Arabidopsis thaliana: one gene and its partners. The protein of the gene in region 3 interacts with the protein of the main gene of each other region in a pairwise test. Each region holds a gene or a part of one and is shown on either strand. Other genes may lie near its edges.

Region 1 (3,757 bases), on a different chromosome or scaffold from region 3:
AATAAAAGAAGAATCCAAATACAGTTTTTTTTTTTGTTAGGTTAGCTAATTAACCTCTGGCTTTAAGCTCGGCAAGTCTCCTGGTTAAATCATCCTCCTCAACTTTCTCTTCAGTCTTGGTAGGAATGGCATGACCAGCAGGCTGAGGTAGTCCAACAGAAACTTCAAGACCGTAATCATCTGCTACTTGCTGCATCAAGCTGTTGACTTCTCCTTCTGGAGTCGACAATGAAGTAGAGCCAGCCATTGCATTATCCATGAACTCAGCTTGGACTTCCATGTTCACAAACTGTTTCTCAAACGAATCCATCGTCTCAGACATCTTCTGTAAGTTGCCTGTTGCAAAGAACAAACCAGAAAATGATAACACGAGTTGCTACAGCACAACGTATAAGAGTATTATAAGCCCTATCTTCTTCTCCCTCTATACTACACTTACCAAAAGGAGAGAAATGCAACAAAAATTCATCACAGATCACAGAACATCCATGACGGTGAGAGAGAGCTATTCTAATATTTCATCAAACCAAACCCTAATGCATGATTCCATATCCTTCAATCAGCAAAAACAACAACAAGGAGCAGAATTTTTCAATCTATACTATAATGCTATGAGCACCAACAAAACCAAATTGATTAGATTGCTGAAAAGTGAGAATGTGAAATACCAGTGGTAAGAGACGATTCGAGGGATTTGACAATGTTGGTCATCGATTTGGTGATGGTAGCCATCTTAGCCTGGGTATCGAGTCGAGCAACAACAGCGTCCAATCGAGAAGAGAGACGAAGGTAGTTCATCTGCTCGCTGCGTTTGCGAATGGCGTTCTCGGCATAGATCCGAGCACCATCCATGTTACCTTTCTCAATGGCTTTCTTTACCTTGAGCTTCTCCGATCTCTCCTCTTTTTCGCACTTCCTAGCTTGCCTCTGCAGAGACTTTGACGTAAATTTCAATTCAAAGATCTGGTTCATCAGCTTATCTGTATTACCCATCTCCTCGATCAGTTAATCGGGATTCGCTTGTTTGATCAATCGGAATCGGAAAAAATTAGGGTTCTTTCGAATTTGGGGAAAGATATCTCAAGCGTGTTTCTTCCGCAGAAAGAGAGGTTTTAACTTTTAAACGAGGAGGCTTCCTAACATTATGTCCTAAATCGAATTGCACTGACTGGTTCTATTATTCGGTTATATCCGGTTTAAGTTTTAATCTTTTAATCCGTCACTGAGTCTGAGTGGTTAGTAGTTATAAAAAAAAAACACTCCTTTGACTTATTCGTTTCAGTTTTGATTATTCACCATCCAAATACATTTGGTATAAACTATAGTAATACTTTTTAAATTCATTTGATTTGTACTGGTTTCAATCGTTTTTCTTTTTTTCTACCGCTTGGGTATTCTCATGAGTTAATTTTGACCCCTGAAAGAAACTTGTAATTTTTCTCAAGTAAGATATGATAATATCAGATTAGAAAAAACAAATGTGCAATGGAATTCTATTTAGGATAATTTGGCAAAAATAATTATTTAGTACTTACTAATGATAATTATACATTTTCCCCCATCACACAACACAACAGTGGAAAGCGCAGCACCTCCACAACTGACCAATGATAGGCGAAAACATATGTCACTGTCCACCGATATGTAGTGGTCAAATAAATAATGTCACCGACTGTAACGCTAAGGATACTTTGGAATCAGGACAAAAACATTATAGTATTAGACATATTAACTTATACGGATTTGTTCCTTCGTTTTGGTCTCGAAGGAAAAAAAAAAGAAAAAAGTTATAATTCCACTTTTGTCCTTTTAGAGAGAGAAAAAGGCCAAGGCGTTTTTCTTCTCTCGTTCCTCCATTTTCTACAGAGAGATATATCAAAAATTCCATTTTCTACAGAGAGAGAGAGAGAGAGAGAGAGAGAGAGAGGGACGAAATATTAATCATCGATCAAGTTGCTTCAATCGCGAAAAAATCCATGAATAAAACTATGGAATGGAATGTGAATCAAAGGATTTGGTTATGGTGATGACGCGATCTTCGATTCGATTCGGTGATTAAAAGATTTGGAAGCTCAGATCTCAAGCTCGGATTTCTAATTTTTGTTGGATTATCTAACCCAAAAGCCAAAAAAAAAAAATGAACGGTGGTGACGATGCCGCTACTAGTGGTCCTCCTCCGTCTTTAGAGTGGAGATTCTCTCAGGTCTTCGGTGAGCGAACCGCCGGAGAAGAAGTTCAGGAAGGTAATTATTGCCTACGTGTGTTATAAATTGTGAGATATATTCGGAGTTTAGCTCTTCTTTTTTCTTTTAGATCCGGAGTGTATTTGAGGACTAAGGGTTTGATTTGTTGTTTGGATCTGATTAGTGAGTTATTCCTCTACTACTTAGTGGGTCATTGATGAATCTCTGTGGCTTTTATTGCACTGTTAGTAGAGTTTCTAAGTTCTATGACAAGTTTGGATTGTTGTGTATTATGTGATATTAGAGCATCTCTATTTAGCTGATTGTTGCGAGGTTGTAACTCTCATTTTTGTACAAGTTTCAGCTGTACTGCTGTAAATTTGAATCATTTGATACGCTGATGATAGTTTTAAGTTGAGATTAAGAGGGTAATCTAGCTTCAAGGTTTTGTCTGTTCAATGCCATAAGCCATGTATACTTTTTTCCACTGGTACAATGGTGTCTCGACTCTGTTTAACAGCAAGAAAGGCATATGAAGCGATGAGGGATTGGGTTGTCGAGGGACAAGTGTGAAGGGTTATCATTGGTCATGCATTTTGGGTTCATGAATTGAATTTGTAATATTGAGTTGGTCTATAGCTGCTCTCTTCTGGCTGATAAGACTTCCCGGAGTATTGATGTAACTAGGTTGCCTTCAGAGGCACTTTCCGTATTAGATAAATTTAATCTGCTCTCATGTTATTGGATGTAATCTTCTTTACCGGTTTACATACTCTATGTTATGGAGAATAATATACTAGCTGCACCTCAAGGTTATTATGTGTTTAGCTCCTACAATTTAGTGGTGACTTCTGATGTAATGATTCTGTTTGCACACATTTCTTCCGCAGTTGACATCATTTCAGCCATCGAATTTGATAAAAGTGGAGACCATCTCGCAACTGGTGACCGTGGGGGCCGAGTAGTTCTTTTTGAAAGGACAGATACTAAAGATGTGAGTTCCTTTTTCTTCTGCAAGATTTGTTTCGAAAAAATGTTATGTGCTGTAACGCACTCTTGCAAAATGTTACTTTCAGCATGGAGGGTCCAGGAAGGATCTTGAGCAGACGGATTACCCAGTTAGGCATCCTGAGTTTCGATATAAAACAGAATTTCAGAGTCATGAACCAGAGGTACATTAAAACTTATCACCAGATTTCACTTACGAGTAATTGTGTTCCTTGAGCTACTCAATAAGCTTGCTTTTCAATCTGTTTCAGTTTGACTATCTCAAGAGTTTGGAGATAGAGGAGAAAATCAACAAAATCAGATGGTGTCAGCCAGCTAATGGTGCATTGTTTCTGCTTTCTACAAACGATAAAACCATCAAATATTGGAAGGTGTGACATCTGGATGGATTTTTATATCACATGTCTGCAAAATATAGGCCACTTATAGCAATTCCTTTCTGTGTAACTCGGTTCCATAATCTTGTTTCATATGCTTTATAGTGTAGAAATATTAGGTGTCACGTGTGAAAACTGTCTAGAAACTGGTTTCTTTTGCTTCCAAGACTCAATTCAAAATAAGAGAAA
Region 2 (3,757 bases), on a different chromosome or scaffold from region 3:
TGTCTCCAAGGTGCGGATCATGAAGAAACGTCTAGTGAGGAAGGCTTTTGATATGATTTTGGGTATATCCTTGAGTGAAAACAGAGAAGTATGTTTCATAACTCTTGTTCCCCTAAGCTTACAGTTTAACCTTTTTTAATTCCCTTTAGAAATCACTGCTACGTTCTGGTGATGATTTTCCTGACGAATGAGAATGGCATTGTTAACCTATACAGGACTATGAGAAGTTTTGGGATAATTTTGGCAAACACTTGAAATTAGGGTGCATCGAAGACCGTGAAAACCACAAGCGTATAGCTCCACTGCTTCGATTTTTCTCCTCCCAGAGTGAGAATGACATGATCAGCTTGGATGAGTATGTTGAGAACATGAAACCTGAACAGAAAGCCATATACTTCATTGCTTCTGACAGCATTACAAGTGCTAAGAATGCACCTTTCCTCGAAAAGATGCTGGAGAAAGGACTTGAAGTATGTGTTGTTCTTCTGAATGGGGCCTCGTTTTGTTCTTCCTTGCAAATATTCCTATTAACTCAGAGGTGATTGACATGTATTTCTTTGTATTGTGAACGTAGGTACTATATTTGGTAGAGCCTATTGATGAAGTTGCCGTACAGAGTTTAAAAGCTTATAAGGAGAAGGATTTTGTAGATATCAGCAAGGAAGACTTGGATCTAGGCAAGTGCCTGATGTAATTCCTTGATTTAGCATGTCAGGTAATCACTTATGTATAATAACAAATTCTGGCTTTGATCTTTGTATTGACAGGAGACAAGAACGAGGAGAAAGAGGCAGCAGTGAAAAAAGAGTTTGGACAGACTTGTGACTGGATAAAGAAACGATTGGGTGACAAGGTTGCCAGTGTTCAAATTTCCAACCGTCTTAGTTCTTCCCCCTGTGTTCTTGTATCTGGTAAATTTGGTTGGTCAGCCAATATGGAGAGGTAAGATCTGACCTTTTTCTTAAGCAAGGATTTCCGTTCTCCTTTTTTGCCCCTGGTGAACTAACACAGAATATGTTATCTGGACAGGCTAATGAAGGCACAATCAACTGGTGACACAATAAGCCTCGACTACATGAAAGGGAGAAGAGTGTTTGAGATCAATCCCGACCACTCAATTATCAAGAACATAAATGTGAAGTCACCATTCATCATAACTTGTACCTGGCTATTATAATTAAATCTAGGAGCCGCTTTTTGAGCTTGGCTTGTTTTTTTCTTGCACCCTGCAGGCTGCTTACAATAGTAACCCAAATGACGAAGATGCAATGAGAGCCATAGATCTTATGTATGACGCAGCACTAGTTTCTAGTGGGTTCACGGTGAGTCCTATTCTACATTAACATTCTTAACTTTTTGTTGTCTCTAGAATTGAAATAAAGTAAATACTGGTAAAACTTAATTGTTGTTTCTCAAAACTACAGCCCGATAATCCAGCAGAGCTGGGTGGGAAGATATATGAGATGATGGATGTAGCTCTTTCCGGGAAATGGTCAAGCCCTGAGGTGCAGCCGCAGCAACAGCAGATGGCACATTCTCACGATGCAGAGACGTTTGAAGCTGAAGTGGTTGAACCAGTCGAAGTGGATGGGAAGAAATGAACACAAGCCTAATGTTTTATGTCCCTGCTACGATTCTCATCATATTCTTCTTCTTTTATTAGTAGTAGCAGTAAAAGTAGAACCCCAAAACTCAGAACAATAGGCAATGAGCGAATGATAATCTCTATTTATGTTGGAGAGATTAATAATTGATTGAGCTTGTTTTTGTTCCAGTTTGTGTTGATCCTCCTCGGTATAATTTTAATAACCGTTAAGAAAAATTCAGTTGGGGTGTTTTTGGAAAGATTTTTCGAGTTTTATCTAACAAAACTAAAATTTTGGGACATATGGTAATTTTTAATTAAATAGAGGGATGTTGTTATCGTACGAATTGGGTTGGTTTAAAACTTTGTTTGGACAGATTCGACTCAAACGTTGAACGCGTTTAAAAAAGTCAACAAAAGTCGAAGGTTACCGGCTGGTCAGGTTAACCGTTAGAGATTAATGAACTGGCAGCTGTATGTCTTTTTTATAGTTCTGTCTTAACAGGCAAAAAAGTGTTTAATTTATCTTTCCTTTGGGTTTCTCACGGAGTCACGGTTCCTCGTTCGTCCTCTCCCGTCGTCTCTCCGGTGAGTCCTTAATTTTCCGGCGGTCTTTTTCCCTTTCTCGTCTGTTTGGTGCTTTCTTTATGTCTGAGGCGAATACAGCAAAACGTATCTGTTTTGGTTGTTGAGTTCGAGGCTGGTCCTGAAAATTCGGTGACAAAAAGAGTCAATAACTCTCGTGATCGAGTTGGATGCGTTGTTTTGAGGGTTGATTCAGTTTATGACTATGTATTTTGGTACTTGCAAGATTTTCTGATTTTATGAAGATTCGTGTTTGACTTTTATAGCGTATAATCTACGGGGCAAACAGATTCGAGCAACTTGTTTTTTTCTAGCGCTTGTTTTGTGTTTACTCTGTCATGTGTTTGTATTTTTTGAGCTTCCACTAGTGATTAATCATCTCAGCTCAATTTGAACATAGGAGATGTAGTTTTTATCTGTCGGTGGATTTCTAGGGATTTTGCAAAATGTTTTGGGCTTTCCTGAATTAGTATGTGATTTGGTCGTAAAGTATTTTAGGGATTTATGTGTTCCTTGGGGTGAATCTGACATTGACATTATCTTGGTGTCTGCAGCACTAAATTGATGGGCACATCATCTGGGTCCAATCTTCCTCACCAGATGCTACCTCCACGTCAGCAACTACAAACATCTCTTTCGCTTGTATCTTCAGATCCCCACTTGTCACGGTCTAATTCTGGCATTGTGCGTGAATCACCAGCTGAAAGTGCTAGCTCTCAAGAAACTTGGCCAACCTCAAAATCTATTATGGGAAGGAAGACAGATAGCGGAAAGACAGGGCCTGACTCTCATGATCAACATGTGATCCGCCATGTTTCCATTGCTGATAAGGTATCGCTACGGGACATAGCTAGAGAGAGACTTGACATAGTCGCTGAGAGAATGCATCGATTACCAGAAGAATATCTCGAGGAGTTAAAGAATGGTCTTAAGGCTATCCTTGAAGGAAATGGTGCGCAGCCTATAGATGAGTTTATGTTTCTGCAGAAGTTTGTCCAGACGAGATCTGATTTAACTTCAAAGACACTTGTCAGGGCTCACCGAGTGCAGCTTGAAGTTCTTGTGGTTATAAACACTGGTATCCAAGCATTCTTGCACCCAAACATCAATCTCTCTCAGTCATCACTCATCGAGATCTTTGTGTACAAGAGATGCAGAAACATAGCTTGCCAAAACGAACTCCCGGCTGATGGTTGTCCCTGTGAGATATGCGCTAATAGGAAAGGCTTCTGCAACCTGTGCATGTGTGTGATATGTAACAAGTTTGACTTTGCAGTCAACACATGCCGCTGGATTGGCTGCGACGTGTGTTCTCATTGGACTCATACGGATTGTGCTATTAGGGATGGGGAGATTTCGATGGGAGTTTCTCCCAAGAGCGTATCTGGGATGGGAGAAATGCTGTTCAAGTGTCGAGCGTGCAACCATACTTCTGAATTGCTGGGGTGGGTGAAAGATGTGTTTCAGCACTGTGCACCAAACTGGGATAGGGAATCTTTAATGAAGGAACTTGACTTCGTTAGTAGGATTTTCCGTGGAAGCGAAGATACAAGAGGCCGGAAACTCTTCTGGAAGTGTGAGGAGCTT
Region 3 (3,555 bases):
ATAGTCGTCTTTTAAAAGAAAGGTTAATCTAAAAGGTCATTTGCGTGTAAATTGTGACGGATCATAAATGTATATGTTTGACTAGATTTTTTACTAAATATTGCTCTAATGATATTTTTGATTTCTAAAGTAGTAAAATTCGAACAATCTAACTTTTCTTTTTTTGTTGTTCATGTAATCATTTCTTTTTTATCCAACAAAATAAGCCTTTAAATTTTTAAGTCAGACCCATTGATGTAAACTTAAACTCTCTACAATAATTTTTAATCTAAACCTCTAATATAAAGTTTTTGCCATTCAATTCCAAAGTTTTCTCTTAATGATTTTAAGAATATAACAAGAAAAAAACAAAAACAAAAAATAAAGCAGTTAGATTTTTACGACCTTTAAAATTTTTAAAAATTCAAAAAATCTGATTGGGTGAAAAAAGACTATTGAGCAACACATGTAAGCCAGACTACTTTAAACGTGTTATTAAACAGTTTGAACAACTGGTTTACTTGTTGAAAATTATTATATTTGCAAGAGTTTATGACTTGTTAGCGAGCGGATGGGACATCGAATAAATAAAAAAAATGACTCAGATAAATATAATTTATAATTATAAAATTTATAAAAAGACAAAAAATTATCTTATTAACAAAATGATTAAAAAAATTAAATACAATTAATAATAAATAAACAAAGTACTACATAATATTCAAAAACATAATTAATTTCATAATAAAATAATTATTAGTTCATGCATCTGGTTCATCACCAAAAACTCAAGTAATATGACAAATGTATTTGAATTCATAAATATTTCGCATTGATAAAACTTATGTTCGTATTTTGCCTTTTTTAGTTTGGATTAACATCATGATATTGATGGAGAATAACCTTAATATGTGGGGTTTGATACAAAAGAATTATTTTATCTGTTGTTTATGTGATTTTTTTAACAACATGGAACTGTAGTAAACGCTTGCAAAAAAATACCTTTTGAAATTCAGCAATTTGAAGTGGTGGATTCGTTCCAAGAACCTAAATAGGCTAACTGTGGGCATTTACTATAATGATGCTTTTGGTCTATAACGGAAAGAGACTCTCTACGAGTTTTTTTTGTTTTTTTAATACAACTCCAAACACTTTATTCTAACATAGAAGTAATATACTAAAACTATTTGATGTATTCAGACTCTTCACATAAGATAACAACCATTATCTCAAATGGTTTAATTTCAATATAGAAAACTAATTTGGGTGACAATTTAGTAGATTTATTCCTAAAAGTCTGATACTGTTTAAAAATGGAGTATCACATGATATTGTTTATGGTACATCAATTTGTGAGGGTTGAATTAGGTTGTTGTTAGGAGAATAGAAGTAAAGTTACTTCATCCAATATTGATCATGTTAGGTTAATGTTATTTTGATTATAGTGTTTATAAAATATTGATATCAATAATTCATATCACCTTTCCTTTATAGTGTTTAATCGATTCATACACCAACATTCTCTTTCTTTTTCCAACAGCCTCGCATGTTCCCACAACTATGCTTTTGTTCCAATGCATCATCCCAATTTTTTCATCAGAATTAAAATAAGACCAAGTCATAGAACAATCCATATATGATATATCGATATAATGAGAAGCGGTTTCACCAATTTTTTGTTCCAATGAGTTGAATCCTCCTCAACACAACATTCTACGTACATATTATTTCATTGAAAGAAAAATATTGAAAAAATAAACTAAGGTACAAAAAGAATATATAAGAAATGTAGATTGTGCGTCCAACTACAAAAATACAACACTTTTCCTACGGAATAATTGTTGTATCCACCAATGGACCCAAAAGCAAGAGCAACAACAACTACTAATAATAATACTCTTTTTCTCATTTTATCAAATCATTTTCACATACGCGTATTTATTAATTTTTATTTTGGCAACACGCGTATTTATATATTTATGATTCTTTCTTTTTTTCTTTCTAAGCATTTCCCTCTATTAACGTGTCCACTCCAAATTCCACAAACCCAAAAAACATTATAATCAATGAACGATGCTTCCATTCGCCAACTACTACATTTCAACACCAATTATGTCCGAGAAGAAGAGCATCACCAGAAGCCGTAACAATAGTAGAAAGAAGAGATGGTCACCGACGCTCTTTGCCGGAGGAGGAGGAGGAAGAGGAGGAGGAGGAGATGATGAGCTGGCGACAGTGAAAGCTGCGGCGTGGGCTTGGTACCAAAGACACGAAGGAAAGCCGATGATGAGAGAGTTCGATCTCTCGAAAAGAGCCATAAGAACACCTCGACCTTCGCGGTATAAGCTCGAGGCCAACAAGACCATGATCCTCTCCGAGAATAAGGTTTCTAAACCACACTCTAATCATTTTTTGCGTGGAGATCAAGAAACCAAGTTGTCTAGTCTTCTTGATTCTTATGAGATCAAGAGCATCTCTAAGAGGATTGATGAGGGTTCGTTACCAACTATTGGTTTCTGGAATGATCATGGTCAACATTATGATCATAATATGTTGCAGAAGAAGCTTGAATATGATAGTAAGCAAGAGAATGGGTTGGTGAAAAAAATGAGCATTAGAAATTTGTGGAAAGGAATGATTATGATGGCTCCAAGGACGGTTTGTGGAAGAAGTGATGACGTGGATCTTGGGGCATATCATCGGGTTGGTCCAAGAACAAAGAAGGTTGCACCGACGAGTGTCAATATGCGTACCGGCCGACGCTAACTCTATGTCTCTATAGTATCTACTCTCTAGTTATTAAGGAGCTAAAATATGTGTTTAGACATTATTAATGCTAAAAGGACTTCTTTTCCACAATATTAATTAAAGGGTTTTAACAAGTTTGTGTATATTAATTTAACTTTTTAGGTCATTCTAGAGAATATTGTGCCCATACCTATATAATTTTCCACAATATTATCTCTTCTTTTTTTTTAAATTTCATTCATGGTCATTCGTTTCTCTTGACTTAGTGTTTCTACGGAAGCTTTGATCAAAATTTATTTTGATTTGTGAATTGTGATCCACATATATTTATAGTCATTTTGTTGGAATCTCATCATATGCTTAACTCTACAAAGAACCGATTTGAAGAAGATAAGAGCTGAGTAACCAAAGAATGGAGTCACCTACACAAGTAACCAAAATAAAGATTCGTAAACCCAATGGGCCATTAGTTGGAGTAAGGCCCAGTTTTTTTATATTGGTGTCGTTCATAGATGTTAGTATAAAGTAGAAACTAGGGGAACATTAGGCGAACAAGATTTGCATTGGATGACTATTTTTCAAGTATAAATAATTGAATTAGTACAAAAAGTAGGAAGATTCATATTCGTAGTGTATATATTTTATGACTCTAATAAATAAAAGAGAGGAAATGAATAATTCGTAGTGTATATATTTTATGACTCTAATCAATAAAAGAGAGGAAATAAACAATTTGATCTAAATATATACACTACATAAAATACAACTTAATGAACAATTTGTTTATCCTTTATGATCTTCTTACCTACAACTTTAGATCAAAATTTA

What was found.
Region 1: the proteins of AT5G37550 (region 3) and ATB BETA interact in a two-hybrid assay, tested with the Arabidopsis thaliana proteins (one large-scale study listed by BioGRID).
Region 2: the proteins of AT5G37550 (region 3) and OBE1 interact in a two-hybrid assay, tested with the Arabidopsis thaliana proteins (one large-scale study listed by BioGRID).

What each region holds. Positions count from the first base shown.
Region 1 is NC_003070.9:6,096,446-6,100,202, reverse strand, and holds the start of ATB BETA (Protein phosphatase 2A, regulatory subunit PR55), read left to right. Parts: upstream 1-1,763; 5' UTR 1,764-2,137; coding exon 2,138-2,243; intron 2,244-3,073; coding exon 3,074-3,177; intron 3,178-3,259; coding exon 3,260-3,355; intron 3,356-3,442; coding exon 3,443-3,562; intron 3,563-3,757. Other genes in the region: VPS46.1 (vacuolar protein sorting 46.1), read right to left, coding at 50-336, 669-993. UniProt on the Arabidopsis thaliana protein: The B regulatory subunit may modulate substrate selectivity and catalytic activity, and may also direct the localization of the catalytic enzyme to a particular subcellular compartment.
Region 2 is NC_003074.8:2,482,370-2,486,126, forward strand, and holds the start of OBE1 (potyvirus VPg interacting protein (DUF1423)), read left to right. Parts: upstream 1-2,084; 5' UTR 2,085-2,616; coding exon 2,617-2,639; intron 2,640-2,724; coding exon 2,725-3,757. Other genes in the region: Hsp89.1 (HEAT SHOCK PROTEIN 89.1), read left to right, coding at 11-88, 216-470, 575-677, 768-942, 1,030-1,135, 1,233-1,322, 1,425-1,601. UniProt on the Arabidopsis thaliana protein: Probable transcription factor that acts together with OBE2 for the maintenance and/or establishment of both the shoot and root meristems, probably by controlling the expression of the meristem genes such as WUS, PLT1 and PLT2 and of genes required for auxin responses.
Region 3 is NC_003076.8:14,918,290-14,921,844, reverse strand, and holds AT5G37550 (uncharacterized protein), read left to right. Parts: upstream 1-1,819; 5' UTR 1,820-2,052; coding exon 2,053-2,745; 3' UTR 2,746-2,944; downstream 2,945-3,555.